Drosophila melanogaster: one gene and its partners. The protein of the gene in region 2 interacts with the protein of the main gene of each other region in a pairwise test. Each region holds a gene or a part of one and is shown on either strand. Other genes may lie near its edges.

Region 1 (4,393 bases), on a different chromosome or scaffold from region 2:
TCAAAATCTATTTCCCTATCGAAAACTCGCGAATGGGGCCAGGCAATCGACTCTGAACACTTGTCTGAACTCACCGAGGAAGAGGACGTCACCTTTACTCAAGCGCGCGATCGTTTTGGGCGCATGGATCGCAAGTACTTTATTCCGTTTTTTACACGTCGGTTCAATAGTCAGGAATTGCACGAGTGCAAGTCACAGATGGCCGACCTGACTAACAAGTGGTACCAAGCCATTCGAGTGAGTCCATTGGATTCAGATGAATCGGACGAAGAGATAGGACTAGCGGCCAGCACAAGTCAAATTCATTTGACACGGTCGTAGGGATTAAATGGCTGTTGTGGGGGGAGCTCTGTATCCGTTTCGGACTGTGTTGGATAACTTTAGAAGCCAAAGGGAACGATCGTATGTAATGCTTAAGTTCCTCTAGTTAATATTTTTAGAGTTTTTATTTATATAGCGCGGTGATGGTTGTTATCTTGTGTATATTTTTTGTTTACAAATTTTCATTTTGTAAGATCCAAATGCAATGATTCATTCGTATCACTGTAGCTCCTTTATTAATCCGCTTAAAGCAGTATTACATTGCACACGACAGATGGTCTTCAAAATGAAAATTTGGACGTCACAAAAGCACACTACGTCAGTAATTTTAGTTAAAAATATTTATTCATACGAATATATGCTGTATTTGTGATTTTATACATTTTTGAAACCAAATAAATATCTAAGTGTGGTACGTGTAAAAAAATATGGTCATGCCCTGCTTTTTGAAATTCTAATTTATAATTACATATCAATTGATAATATTACCTATTAAAGTAAAATTGGCTACAAAAGGTGTGCGTTTTTGGTTACTTTTACAATTCTTCGTGCGTGGACTCTTCACCGAGCACCGTGGAGTTTGAATCACTGCGGACTGCAAACGAAGTACAAAAATCGTTAGATGTCTTGGGGGAATGTTAAAAGATTATGCTTTTCAAAACGCTCGTGTATATCATAAAAGGAAAGCAATGTTGACATGTCTTTTGACTTATAAAGACTTCATTATTAGTTCCTCCAACTGTTTTGTATCTATTTCGGGTTGGTGGCCGCCTCCTGCCTCCGAGTTGATCCAGTACTCGGAAACAGCAATGTACCCTGCCACTGCCGCCCCAACAATGCAACCCCAGGCAATATGAGTAGAGCTCTGGAAGATGACACAGGTGGCCACGCACATTCCGAAGTAGGTGAGCATTCGCGTAAAGCTTACGTAGTTGCTGCGTTGCTCCGCAGAAATATCTTAAATGATCGGAGGCGCAATACATACAGTGGACAATGCGTTGCTTAAAAGCAAATTTATTAAATTTCTGTCTTACTTACCATGACACTTTCCTTCCTTCAACTCATAGCCATCCGCACACTTCCTGCACATGTCAGGGCCATCACCATCGCATCCATCGCAAGATCGATCACACTCCAGGCAACTAAAGGAGCCCTCATTGTTCACGCAGAACTGCTGTGGTCGGCAAGGGTTTGGACGCTGTTGCTCCAAGCACTCATTAATGTCGACACATCCTGCCTCCGAGTCCATGCTCCAGCCCTTCTTACACTTGCGGCAGCTCTTGGGACCACCTCCCGTGCAGCCTCCTTCCCCACAGGCCGCATGGCACTGTGTACACAGCAATTTCTTTTCGTCACGGAATGATTCGTAGTGCTCCGGTCCACATTCGTTGCAGTTTGGACCCGCATAGCCGGGATCACATTTGCACTTTCCGTTACCCTTTCTAGTTCCGTCTCCTTTGCATTTTCCTGAAATTTGTCATGTGGGTAAAATTAACGAAGACGGCAATCTTAAGTTGACACACTTATGTAAGTTGTGGCCTGTAATACTTGGTTATCATTACTTACCATTTCCATTGCACTCGGTGCAGGTCAGGCAGTCTGGTCCGTAGGTGTTCAGCGGACAGCAGACTGTTAGCTGATCGATGCAAAGCCATGACTGCAGGTCGGGACTCTCTGTTTGTTTGTGGATAAACCAGTCCTCGAGAAGCGCCTCGTGCTCGTTAGCCAGGTTGTGGCAGTGATCCTTGTTTATCACTTCTCCTTCCGAACATAGCTTCTCCTGGATCTCCACTAGCCGTACCTCGCTGTTCTTGTACGAACGCAACTTTTCCTCCTCCCATGCCGTGTCCCCGCCCGCGTGTCCGCGTTTTGTCCTTTCGAGTCCTGCCCTGAAAGAGCTAACAAGCTGGGTACATGCCCTGCAGGGCGGCGGAACAGGCTTTTCGGGAGAATATGACGCCGAAGCAGCGGCTATGAATACTAGCGTTGCGAGCCAACAATACTTGATTCTCATTTTTATTTATTTATTGTCTTTTTAACCGGCAAACTATCTGAGTTTACGTGTAATTAAAGCCGACACTATCGATAAATAAAAACATCGATAGTATACTCGAAAGTTTCGCGAATACCGATAGGTCGCGTTCGATACCATTGCCTCACGGAGCTCACTCTTAGTCAATCTAACAACCGTTAACGACCCATGCGAAATTCGAGGATTATCATTTTCGAATACTTCCCTTTTCTGGTAATCGACAATTAAATTTTGTTGCTGTAGGATACGATTTGTTTCACTCACTTTAACTGCACCTCCTTGTAGCTTGAAACATGTTGCTTTAACTATTTTCGTAAAAGTAAAAAAGTGTAAACTTTATTTTTTTCGCTTTTTAATATTTTGCTTAATCTATTAGATGCATAAAAAAGTTATGCTATTACATTAGCAATTATAGAGATCGATAATTTAAAATGTAAGATTTACTTAAAATAATCCGATACGCTAGACATGAAAGACCAAAAGTATGATAATTTGATTGCAGACTAAGTCGTGTGCAAGAAGTTACCATTTCAAAGGAGTACTTTTGTTGTTGTACGCGTTGGCCCTATTGGATGTATTTAGAAAAGAAATAAAAAATTATATAAGTTAATGTTTACTTTTTGCACTGGTGGTTTTTAATATAGTCATATAGTAAAGTAATATCTATATTAGGCTGGATTCTATAAATATCTAATTAAGCATCTTATGTCTATTATTTAGAGCACTCCGTTGAGGAACAAAATAAGAAAGACATGAGAATTTTAATACATATGTATACACAATGTAACTTTCCTTTTCACTGTATAACAATAAAAACTTACTTGACAACGCCATGATTCTGAACTGATGTAAGAGTAATAAAGGGAGTCAATCGTTCAATGAACCGATCGTTGTTACGTTCCAGTTCTCGTTGGTAATCTTTTTGATCTGAAAGTATTAGATTGCGATTCTTTTTCAAAGCATCAGCACAACGCTTTGAAAACTCGCGAAAGCACAACCGAAGTTTGTTTTGGTGTTTTGTCGGTACAGTTGTTCCGTCGGATAAATTGGAAAGGAACACACTCGCCATTTCCATCGGTCCTTGGTTAACAGTGGTTCCAATACATCCCTGCAGTACCATTTGCAATATTTTGGGGTCTGCTGGCTCTTGATTCGTGGCAGCTGCCAATTCCAATGTTTTTTTTTGAATATCCTAGGCAATAACGTTTAATTTTATTAACTTTTGGGATTTTACAACATAACTTACTTCAATTGCCACTTCAATCGGTTCCAGGACTATTTGCTGTCGGCTAATTACCATAATGCGAGTTTTTACGTATGGAAAGTGATTCGCCGTGGTCAAAATCGTTTTCCGTTTACACTGCTCATTTAGTTCGCCATGTGCCTTTCCATTTTTAGTAAAAGGCGTGGCATATATAAAACGTTCTGCATAAACCAAAAATGTTAAAATTATAATTTTAAATTTCGATTTAAATTATCTGTTTAATTCATATCATACTTATATTGAAATTCCGCTCAAAGTATGTCTCACGATGACGCATTTCATATGTTTCAAAGTAGGGTTCAACATAAGTAATTTGAATGTAAGCCTTATCGGGATCCAAGCTATTAATATCAACGGTATTGGAATCTTTAATGATATGCACAGAGTCCGGTCCGAATCGTTCAGTGTAAAAGTTCTAACGTATGTTGAAACAAAATTGATTAGTTCTATTTTTTCCAATTTGCAATATATACCTGAAGCCGACTAAATATTTCGGGCAACTTCGTCAATGTTGGCTCTTTATAAATGAATTCCTGCTGATCCAAGTCCCCAAATTTTCCGCCATAGAAGCCAACACGAAAGTATGTTCCAAAAACTCTCTTACCCTGTTTATAAATATGTATATATTTTCCGTTGGTAAAATTTACACAATATTGTTACCTGTAGTTGGGATATTCGATTAAATGCCTCCTGCAATTTGCCATGAACTTTGCTTAGCTTTTGAAAATCTCTGTTAGCCTCGCATATGGGTATTAGAATTTTGTACACTTCGTTCA
Region 2 (4,261 bases):
ATTGGTATTACCATTTTTGCTGGCAATATCACTCGATTACCTTTTTCGATTAGAACTTGTGTTGATACATTGGACGCTGACACATATATTTATACATAAAATCTAATCTGTGCAAGTGTATGAGTGTGTCAGTCTTAATGTGTGCGTGTTTGTTAGTAATGTTTTAAATTATATTATGTAGACTTAAACGCAAGGCTTTTGAGCCCTTGCTCGTTGCCACATTCCGCAATCGATATCAAATGTGAAACGAAACGACCGCATGTAGTTAAATATAATAGTACATTAGCTAGACAAAATAGCCAACTAACTATGTTCTGACGTATTTTTTACAAAGCATATTTAATTCACTTTCACGCATGAGTTCTTATTGTAATTCTACGCAAATCCAATTACTAAGACACGAAATTGTACAGACATATATAGTTTTATTTATCTTTTATTTTAACGTCATGTATTTTTGTTTATTCAAAATAAAGGTTTGTTCCTTGAGTTTTAATTTTATTAATAAAATACAAAATATTAATGTGATTTGATAGTTTCATGGTGCAATAAACTAATTAAAAACAATGCTTGACAGGTTCTTTAAATAAGGTGGCATTCAAATAATAATAAATTATAATGGTAAATATCACATTGAATCCATAGTACTGACTTTACTAATCCCTTTAATTTCCTTTTACGGACTTCAATCCCTCTTCGGGCAATTTTACTTTGGCAACATAGTGATTGAAAGGCGATCCCAGATATAAGTGACCCTTAACTTCCAGCACGTGGGATATGCCCGAAGCTGATCTGTCAAACCCATGCAGGGATCTCACAATGTTTCCATTCCAATCCACACGCACCACAGTGCTACGCTTGGGAGCGTTCCTGATGACCAAATCGTTAAAGGAGTGAAAAAGACGAGCCGCAATGTCATTTGGATATATATGGTTCAGAACTCGAAGGGGAAGTCGCATTAGAGCCACCAAACGAGCCAAAAAAGATCTAAGCCTCGGATAGGGCGCCAACACGGCGAACAAATTGGGATTCTGACTATCTGAAGCCACAGACAGGGGCACCCAGATTCCCTCTTCATCCGCAGTGAGGTTATCCGGGCAGCCGGGCAAACCCTCCACAAACACTTCGCTTTCACCGGCTCTTGATCCTTTGAGATAATATCTCCTCAGCCGCATGGCCGTTGTTTCGGCAAGGATAATGAAATCCTCACTGGGACTTAAGGCCAAGCCGTTGGCAAAGGACAACTCATCGAGCAGTACCTCGTTTGTCTTCTTTACGCGATCGTACCTGAAAAGTCTGAGGAAAGCCAATAAACCCTTCTTATATGGTAGATCTCTCCTTAGTTCGAACTCACCGACCCGACGGGTTGGCGAACGCAGCAAAGACAAAGTCCTCTGAAAAGGAATCCGTCCAGAATATGTCACCCTGGCGGCTAATTACCAGCGAATTGAACAGCTTAGCCCGACGGTTTGCACCCTTGCCAGGAAGGATCTGCTCCGCCGGCACCAGCACAGTCTTCTTCTTCGTTTCCAAGTCGACTTGCCATATGCCGTAGTATGCATCGGATACAATAAGATTGTTTCCCTGGGTGTCCAGGGCTAAACCCACTGGATAGCCGCACAACTCATCGTCAAATATATAATCTACGGTGAATATCAAGGGCATTATGGATACAAGTTGCCCCTACTCCTTTGTTACCACAAGGTTGCCCTATTTTTGTGATAGGTTGAACCGACTCCTCATTGTTTAGTCGAATAACCTCGCCGCTGTGAATTCCTGTGTAAATCTTGTCCTCGAGTACTATGAGGCACTCGGGTCCAAATATTTGATCTTTCCACAACTTCCGGGCGCCATTTAAGTGATTGTTCAGCTCCAGCGTTCCATTCAGATCTCTAGCTGGCTTTATACTGGGAAACGCACGTATATAGATTATATGGCTTGATAGCAACTGAAGAAAAACAACTTACAAATACTGTTCGAAGGGGAAAGTGGTGCTAGGATATAAGACAGGTAGCAGAAACAAGGACCCCAGGAATAGGACCAAAAACAGGCTGGTTTTAAGCAATGCAGCAAGAAAACCCATTATTATTGACTGCGGTAACAAAGTTCAATTGTCAAGGTATTGTCATAATGATTAGTTTGATTTCGAATTGGTCGATATATATGTACCCTGCTGATTGGAGCTTTTAAAGTTAATCAACAAACCATTAGATTAAATTCAATACATTTTTATTGGCAGAGGCAGAGCGTGCTTAACATGTCGATATCCGCTTAATCTGAGGCTTCTGCATTGTACTTCAATTACAGCTTTGACTCCTCCATTCCCGTCTAGCTTCTTAGCCTAGTGAGTGAGATATCACGATCGATTCGGAACGCATTGTCTAAGGCGGTAACTAATCGGTTGCGAAGCGAAGTGCAGCCAAGTATAAAACACTTCGAGATACCGACTACGAAAACGATTGGCCTACAAGCTAAATACAATAACAAATACTGGCACTCAGGTATCAACCAGGATGTGCGTGAACAAACTGTGCATTCGCCGCTCCATTTCCGTGTACACCAGTGAGTTGAGTCCATCCGCGTGCTGGCGCAGAGTCGCCGATCTCAGCAGTGCCACGCGATTGGCATTCGGCTGCTCCTGTTTGTGCTTCAGCATGGTGTACTTACTGAACTCCATTGCGAATCGGCAAATGTCGATATTCAGGGCCTGCAGGCGCTCGTAGAGGTCATCGTCCTCTCCGCCCCAGCCGTAATACAGATTGGACATGCCGTTGATCTGCTGGTACTGGGCGGTGTTGATGGCCACCACGCCGCCGAAAAGACCGCGGTAAGGCAGTCGGAATCGCCAGTGATCCAGGGCAGAGCTCATGTGCCGTGGACGTTCGGAGCAGGCATATATTTGACCCGAATTCAGTGGCAGGAGGTCCACGTCATGAAGGATGAGGCAGGGAAATCCATACTCCGCAGCCACCTGGGCGCCAATGTTGAAGAGCATCGCCCTGTTAAACGGCTTATGATCGAACTGTTCGACCAGGAAAATCCGATAGTGGATCAGCTGCTGCGGCAGGTAATTGTGCATGTACGTGAGGAAGGCGTGCAGCTGCTCCTCCCGCTGCCTGTACGGCACAATGATGGCGGTGCTGTAGCGAGCCTGACATCCTTCCGGACGGAACTCGCCGCCAGGACGGATCTCCGCGCCCCTCTGCACCGCGTCATGGTAATGGGCCAGGTGGTAGACGAACCGGTTTTCGGCAATGATCTCCGAGTAGGTGCATTCGAAAACTTCCTGCTGGGAGACATTTCTGGTCACCTGCGGCACCAGAGCCCCCTCGATCTTTGATTCCTCGATGTAGTCGTAGTGCGATGCGAACCGGAAGGGCAGACACAGGTACACGATGAGAGTGATCAGTCCGATGGCGATGAGAAGATCATATTTATGGAAGCTGCGGACCCAGAGCCGCACGAACATTGTTGGCAGGAAAAGTTGACTCAGTGCGATCTTTGGAAACTCCGCATCCTAATTTCGGACGCAATCTTCGCGGCCGGTTGGCGAATAACAGCTGACGACCAGGGACGCAACGCATAAACCAACAGACAGTGAAACTTCACCAGCTCGAATTGTTTTTTTTTTGGTTTATTTTCTCACATAATATTCATTAATTTTTTAAATGGTTTTTACGAACAACTAAAGTCTACTAACCAAAAAGAAAATGTTTATGAAATCAATTTTTAGGATGCCTTTAATACAAAATAGCATAAGAAGTTGTTTTTATAAAAAGTATGCAACCGATTGGGCATCCATGGTTCTTTAAAACGGCATGACTCTACCCCACCCTTATTAATTAAACAATAATTTGATAAAAAGTTGTGTTTACTTATACTAGATTGTTGAGACTTCTATTGATAAGGATGCATAGTTATAAATGTTGACTCATTAAAGAGAAGGTAATTGAACTGAAGAAGGTTGTAGCCATATGTATGTATGGTTAATACATGAGAGACATAATCAAAGTTTTTAATTTATAACATTTAAAATGTCAATCTTTGTTTATTATCGGGTTGTACTGTTCGCTCAACAAGTACGTACTGTATAAACAAAGCAACAGCACTCTGGCAACGCCGTGACAGTTTCCCATCCCTGAACCGGCGAAGAACTCTTGGTTTCCTTTTACAATTTCTTAAACAAATGCACCGGTGGTTTAATTGGCAAAAATGACCTCCATTATCAAGCTGCACACTATATCTGGGGCGATGGACGAGT
Region 3 (3,620 bases), on a different chromosome or scaffold from region 2:
GTCTGAAGCCCCTGGCCATTCAAGATGTGTTCAATCCTCCGGAGGAGGGACAACAATCTCACGAAGCTGGTCCCAAGGAACTGGAATCCCTGTACACGCTAGTCTCATTTTACATGGCGCAAATGTACGGGCATTTGGGTGAGCCGGAAAAGTCGGCCAAGTGCTGCCATCGCACCCTCCATCGACAGCTTGAGTCAAAAACATACGATCCCATTGATTTCGCACTGAACACCGCCACCTTGTCACAGTTCTATATTGGAGAGAAGCGCTTCGAGGAGGCCCGTCATCACCTGGCCGCTGCTACGCTCATCATGGCCGAATATGAGGTGCACATGCTGGAGCCGGAGATGAGCGAGAAGCAGCGCCAGGACGTGTCGGAGACCTTTAAACATCGCTACGCCGATGTGGCACGCTGTTGGGCCAAATATGGATTGTATTTAATGAACACATCCAAGCTTCGGCTGATGCGGGACGAAGATGACGAGGATGCCAAGAACCTGGAGATCGTTCTGCGCAATATGCGGCTGGTCGAGGCGGAACAGTCCCGGTTTCCTGGACTTGACCTCACCGCGTGTGAAAATCGTATTAGTTGTGAATACTGCCTGACCTTCGACGATGCCAAGTTGGTGTTTCATTTTGTGAACGAGTGGCTCGACATAGCCAAGGACTATTACAAGGCCGAGAACGAAGCTACTGAGTATTCAAAGATAATGCAGGATTACGCCGAAGCGTATGAGCACATTGCCTTCTTCGAGGAGAATCCAGAAAACCAGGCCAAGATGCAAAAGCGTCGCGCCAAGTATCTGGAAGATCTTTTGGATCTGCTTGACCCCATCTTTTACATGAAGATATGCCGAGAATGCTGGTATGGAGCCGGCACAGCTCATGCTGCCGTGATGGATGTCCGTCTCGACATCATTCGGGCCACTAGCACGCCAGCGCCGGAGGACATCAAGAAGGTCAATCAGAGCTGTATGAAGGCCATCAAGCACTTTGAGAGCTATGTCAAATCCTATCTGGTCAAACCGCCCAGCGAGGAATGGCGACCCAACATGGACGTGGAGGAGCAACGCCACATGCTCTACGCCCACTTCCACATCGGTCGCATCTACTACAAGCTGATCAGTGGCCATCCGCTCCAGCAGCTGGAGCACCTAACTAGTTGCCACACCTACTACCAGAGATTCGATGCTGGTTGCCAGCTGCACAAGGAGGCGGCCGAGACGCTGCAGGGCGAGATTGGTGTTGTGCGTGAAATGCTCCAGCTGTTGCCGCTCAAGATAAACACGATTAAGGCCAGGTTGAACAAGGCTGGGCTAACCGCGTGAGAATTTCCAAAAAATTAATTGCATTTGCTAAAAGCTTTATACGTAGTCAAAATAAATCGCGTTTCTTTCAAGGATATTTAATTGTTAATACATTAGTAACTTACATGTTACATTCTGATAGCGAAAGTAAGCCGCTTTTCGATTTTAATTGCCGACAGCATAAATTTATTTCTTGCTACTCGTGAATGGTACTTATGCCGGAGTATGGCTTGGCGCACTGTTTCATATATTGATTATAATAAATAAGTTGAACTACTTCGAAACTCAATTTTTTGCCGAGCATTTCTAAATTTCACAAAACTAAATTGAACGAAGCTCTGTCTCCGAAATACTTTTCAAACCTGGCAACCCTGGCTGCCAGCCATTCACATACGAACAGCTGTTTTTTCCAAACAGGAAGAGGAAGAGCGCCGTTGGCCTAGCCAAAATCAGGGAAAATATAGTTTAATAGCCAAGTTTAAACTGCCACTATAGTTTTAATAGTGAATAATAACAGTAAACTGCTAGTTCGTTCCTTAAAAAATGGCACACGCCACGCCACAGGTATGTGATTGCCTCAAAAATAAAGAGGAAACTGGTAGTGCGCCGCGTTTCTGTGACGCAATAGCTGCGTTAACTTTCGTAAACCCCATGGAATAACAAAGCGTTTAAACCTTCTGCAGGGCGTAAAGCTATTAAACGGATGGAAGCGTCCGGGTCGCTTTGACAAGGGTCTGGGAGCCCAGCTGCCCGAGGCGTACAGGAAGTTCTGGCGCGAGTGGAAGCTGACGACCCCGGCTGCGGTCCATTATATCCCCAAGGAGCAGCAGTGGGAACGAGATGAGGTGACGCACGCCATCAAGCCGGTGCAGAACATCCCGCTGCCATTGATCGATACGCCGGAATCGCACCGTGGCATCTGGGGTGGCGAGGCCGTGATCAAGGGCTTTCAGAAACGCGAGCAAACAAAGCGTCGCGTGCCGCACTTTTGGGTACCAAATCTTAGGCGTTCGGTGGTCCATAGTCATGTGCTGGACTGCTACATGTCCGTGGTGGTGACGGAACGCACGCTGGAGCAGATCCATGAATGTCATGGCTTTGATCACTACCTCCTCAAGAATCGTGCCTGCGATCTTCGCTCCGCTTTGGCTCTGAAACTCAAGCGAGAGGTGCTTCAGGCCCTGCAGAACGGTGTTCCAGCCCTCGCCGACGAGCCCGAACGCCAACAGGAAGTGCTTAAGGAATACCGCCGCTATCTGGAACCATATACGCCCGAGGAAATCGATTGGTACGGCCATACCTATTTGGAGGCCATACGCAAGCTGCAAAAGCAGCTGCGCGAAGCGGAAAAGGTGGTGCCGCATAAGTTGGAGTTCCGCGGAAAGCTTATCGAGCAGCTGCGCCAGGCGGGGATCAGCGAAGCGGGAAAGCTGGAGAAGCCGGATGCATTAGCAGCAGAATCGTCGGTCGAACACAAGGATTCGGATATCGAAGCGCTTACAAAGCTGTAAGTCACAAATACTTCTGTAATGAATTTCCTAACCAATGATTTATTCCAGGGAATCCTCCCCCTCTTCCAGTTGGCTGTCTAAAATCAATCCTTTCGGCAAGAAAGAAACCTAGAAAAGCTGTCCGCGTTTGTTTTTGATTTATGTGTTTAGCCTCGAACGAATAAACATAACTTCGGAAACATTTCGTTACAATTTGAAGGTATTAAAACGTTGTTACTCGAACGTCTTTATTTCAAATATTCGTTACATCTGGTACTGTATAAAAACAAGTAGAATCACACACTGAACATGAACGTACGCGGCAAAGTAGAAAAAGGAATGATTGCAAATCCCCACGAGAATACAGAAATACATTGACAAATCAACTACGCTGATCACTTTACGCTTAGACTATGGTTAGTGTATAGCTCCGCAAGCGGGCAGAGAGCTTTGTGCCGTAAATGATCCCAGTCCGAGCTGGAAGCCAGGTAGGCCTTAAGCGATTGGATTTTTCCTCATTAATTCGATGTCAGCCTTCATCATGTCGCTAACCAATTCCACGAAGGTAACTTTAGGCGTCCAGTTTAGCTCTCGATTGGCTTTGGACGCGTCGCCTTGCAGCAGATCGACCTCCGTCGGCCGAAAATACTTTGGATTTATGCGGACGCGCACAATACCCGTGCCGTTCTCCACTCCCACCTCGTCCACACCCTTGCCCTTCCACGTTATCTCTCGATCAATATGCTTGAACGCGGCTTCCACGAATTCGCGCACACTGTGCGTTTCGCCTGTAGCTATGACGTAGTCGGAAGGAGACTCCCGC

What was found.
Region 1: the proteins of Ssl2 (region 2) and Creld interact in a two-hybrid assay, tested with the Drosophila melanogaster proteins (one large-scale study listed by BioGRID).
Region 3: the proteins of Ssl2 (region 2) and mRpL28 interact in a two-hybrid assay, tested with the Drosophila melanogaster proteins (one large-scale study listed by BioGRID).

Annotation. Positions count from the first base shown.
Region 1 is NT_033779.5:100,401-104,793, reverse strand, and holds Creld (cysteine rich with EGF like domains), read right to left. Parts: upstream 2,415-4,393; 5' UTR 2,336-2,414; coding exon 1,888-2,335; intron 1,789-1,887; coding exon 1,360-1,788; intron 1,279-1,359; coding exon 1,031-1,278; 3' UTR 917-1,030; coding exon of another isoform or gene 858-916; 3' UTR 652-857; downstream 1-651. Other genes in the region: Nhe1 (Na[+]/H[+] hydrogen exchanger 1), read left to right, coding at 1-321; Zir (Zizimin-related), read right to left, coding at 2,876-2,918, 3,175-3,545, 3,600-3,778, 3,852-4,032, 4,091-4,222, 4,278-4,393.
Region 2 is NT_033777.3:29,030,451-29,034,711, forward strand, and holds Ssl2 (strictosidine synthase-like 2), read right to left. Parts: upstream 2,193-4,261; 5' UTR 2,084-2,192; coding exon 1,968-2,083; exon of another isoform or gene 1,908-1,967; coding exon 1,699-1,907; exon of another isoform or gene 1,644-1,698; coding exon 1,355-1,643; exon of another isoform or gene 1,297-1,354; coding exon 666-1,296; 3' UTR 501-665; downstream 1-500. Other genes in the region: beta4GalNAcTB (beta1,4-N-acetylgalactosaminyltransferase B), read right to left, coding at 2,498-3,469; Cpsf100 (cleavage and polyadenylation specificity factor 100), read left to right, coding at 4,213-4,261.
Region 3 is NT_033779.5:4,972,287-4,975,906, forward strand, and holds mRpL28 (mitochondrial ribosomal protein L28), read left to right. Parts: upstream 1-1,689; 5' UTR 1,690-1,850; coding exon 1,851-1,871; intron 1,872-1,990; coding exon 1,991-2,814; intron 2,815-2,866; coding exon 2,867-2,930; 3' UTR 2,931-3,030; downstream 3,031-3,620. Other genes in the region: CG14043 (uncharacterized protein), read left to right, coding at 1-1,328; Gmd (GDP-mannose 4,6-dehydratase), read right to left, coding at 3,293-3,620.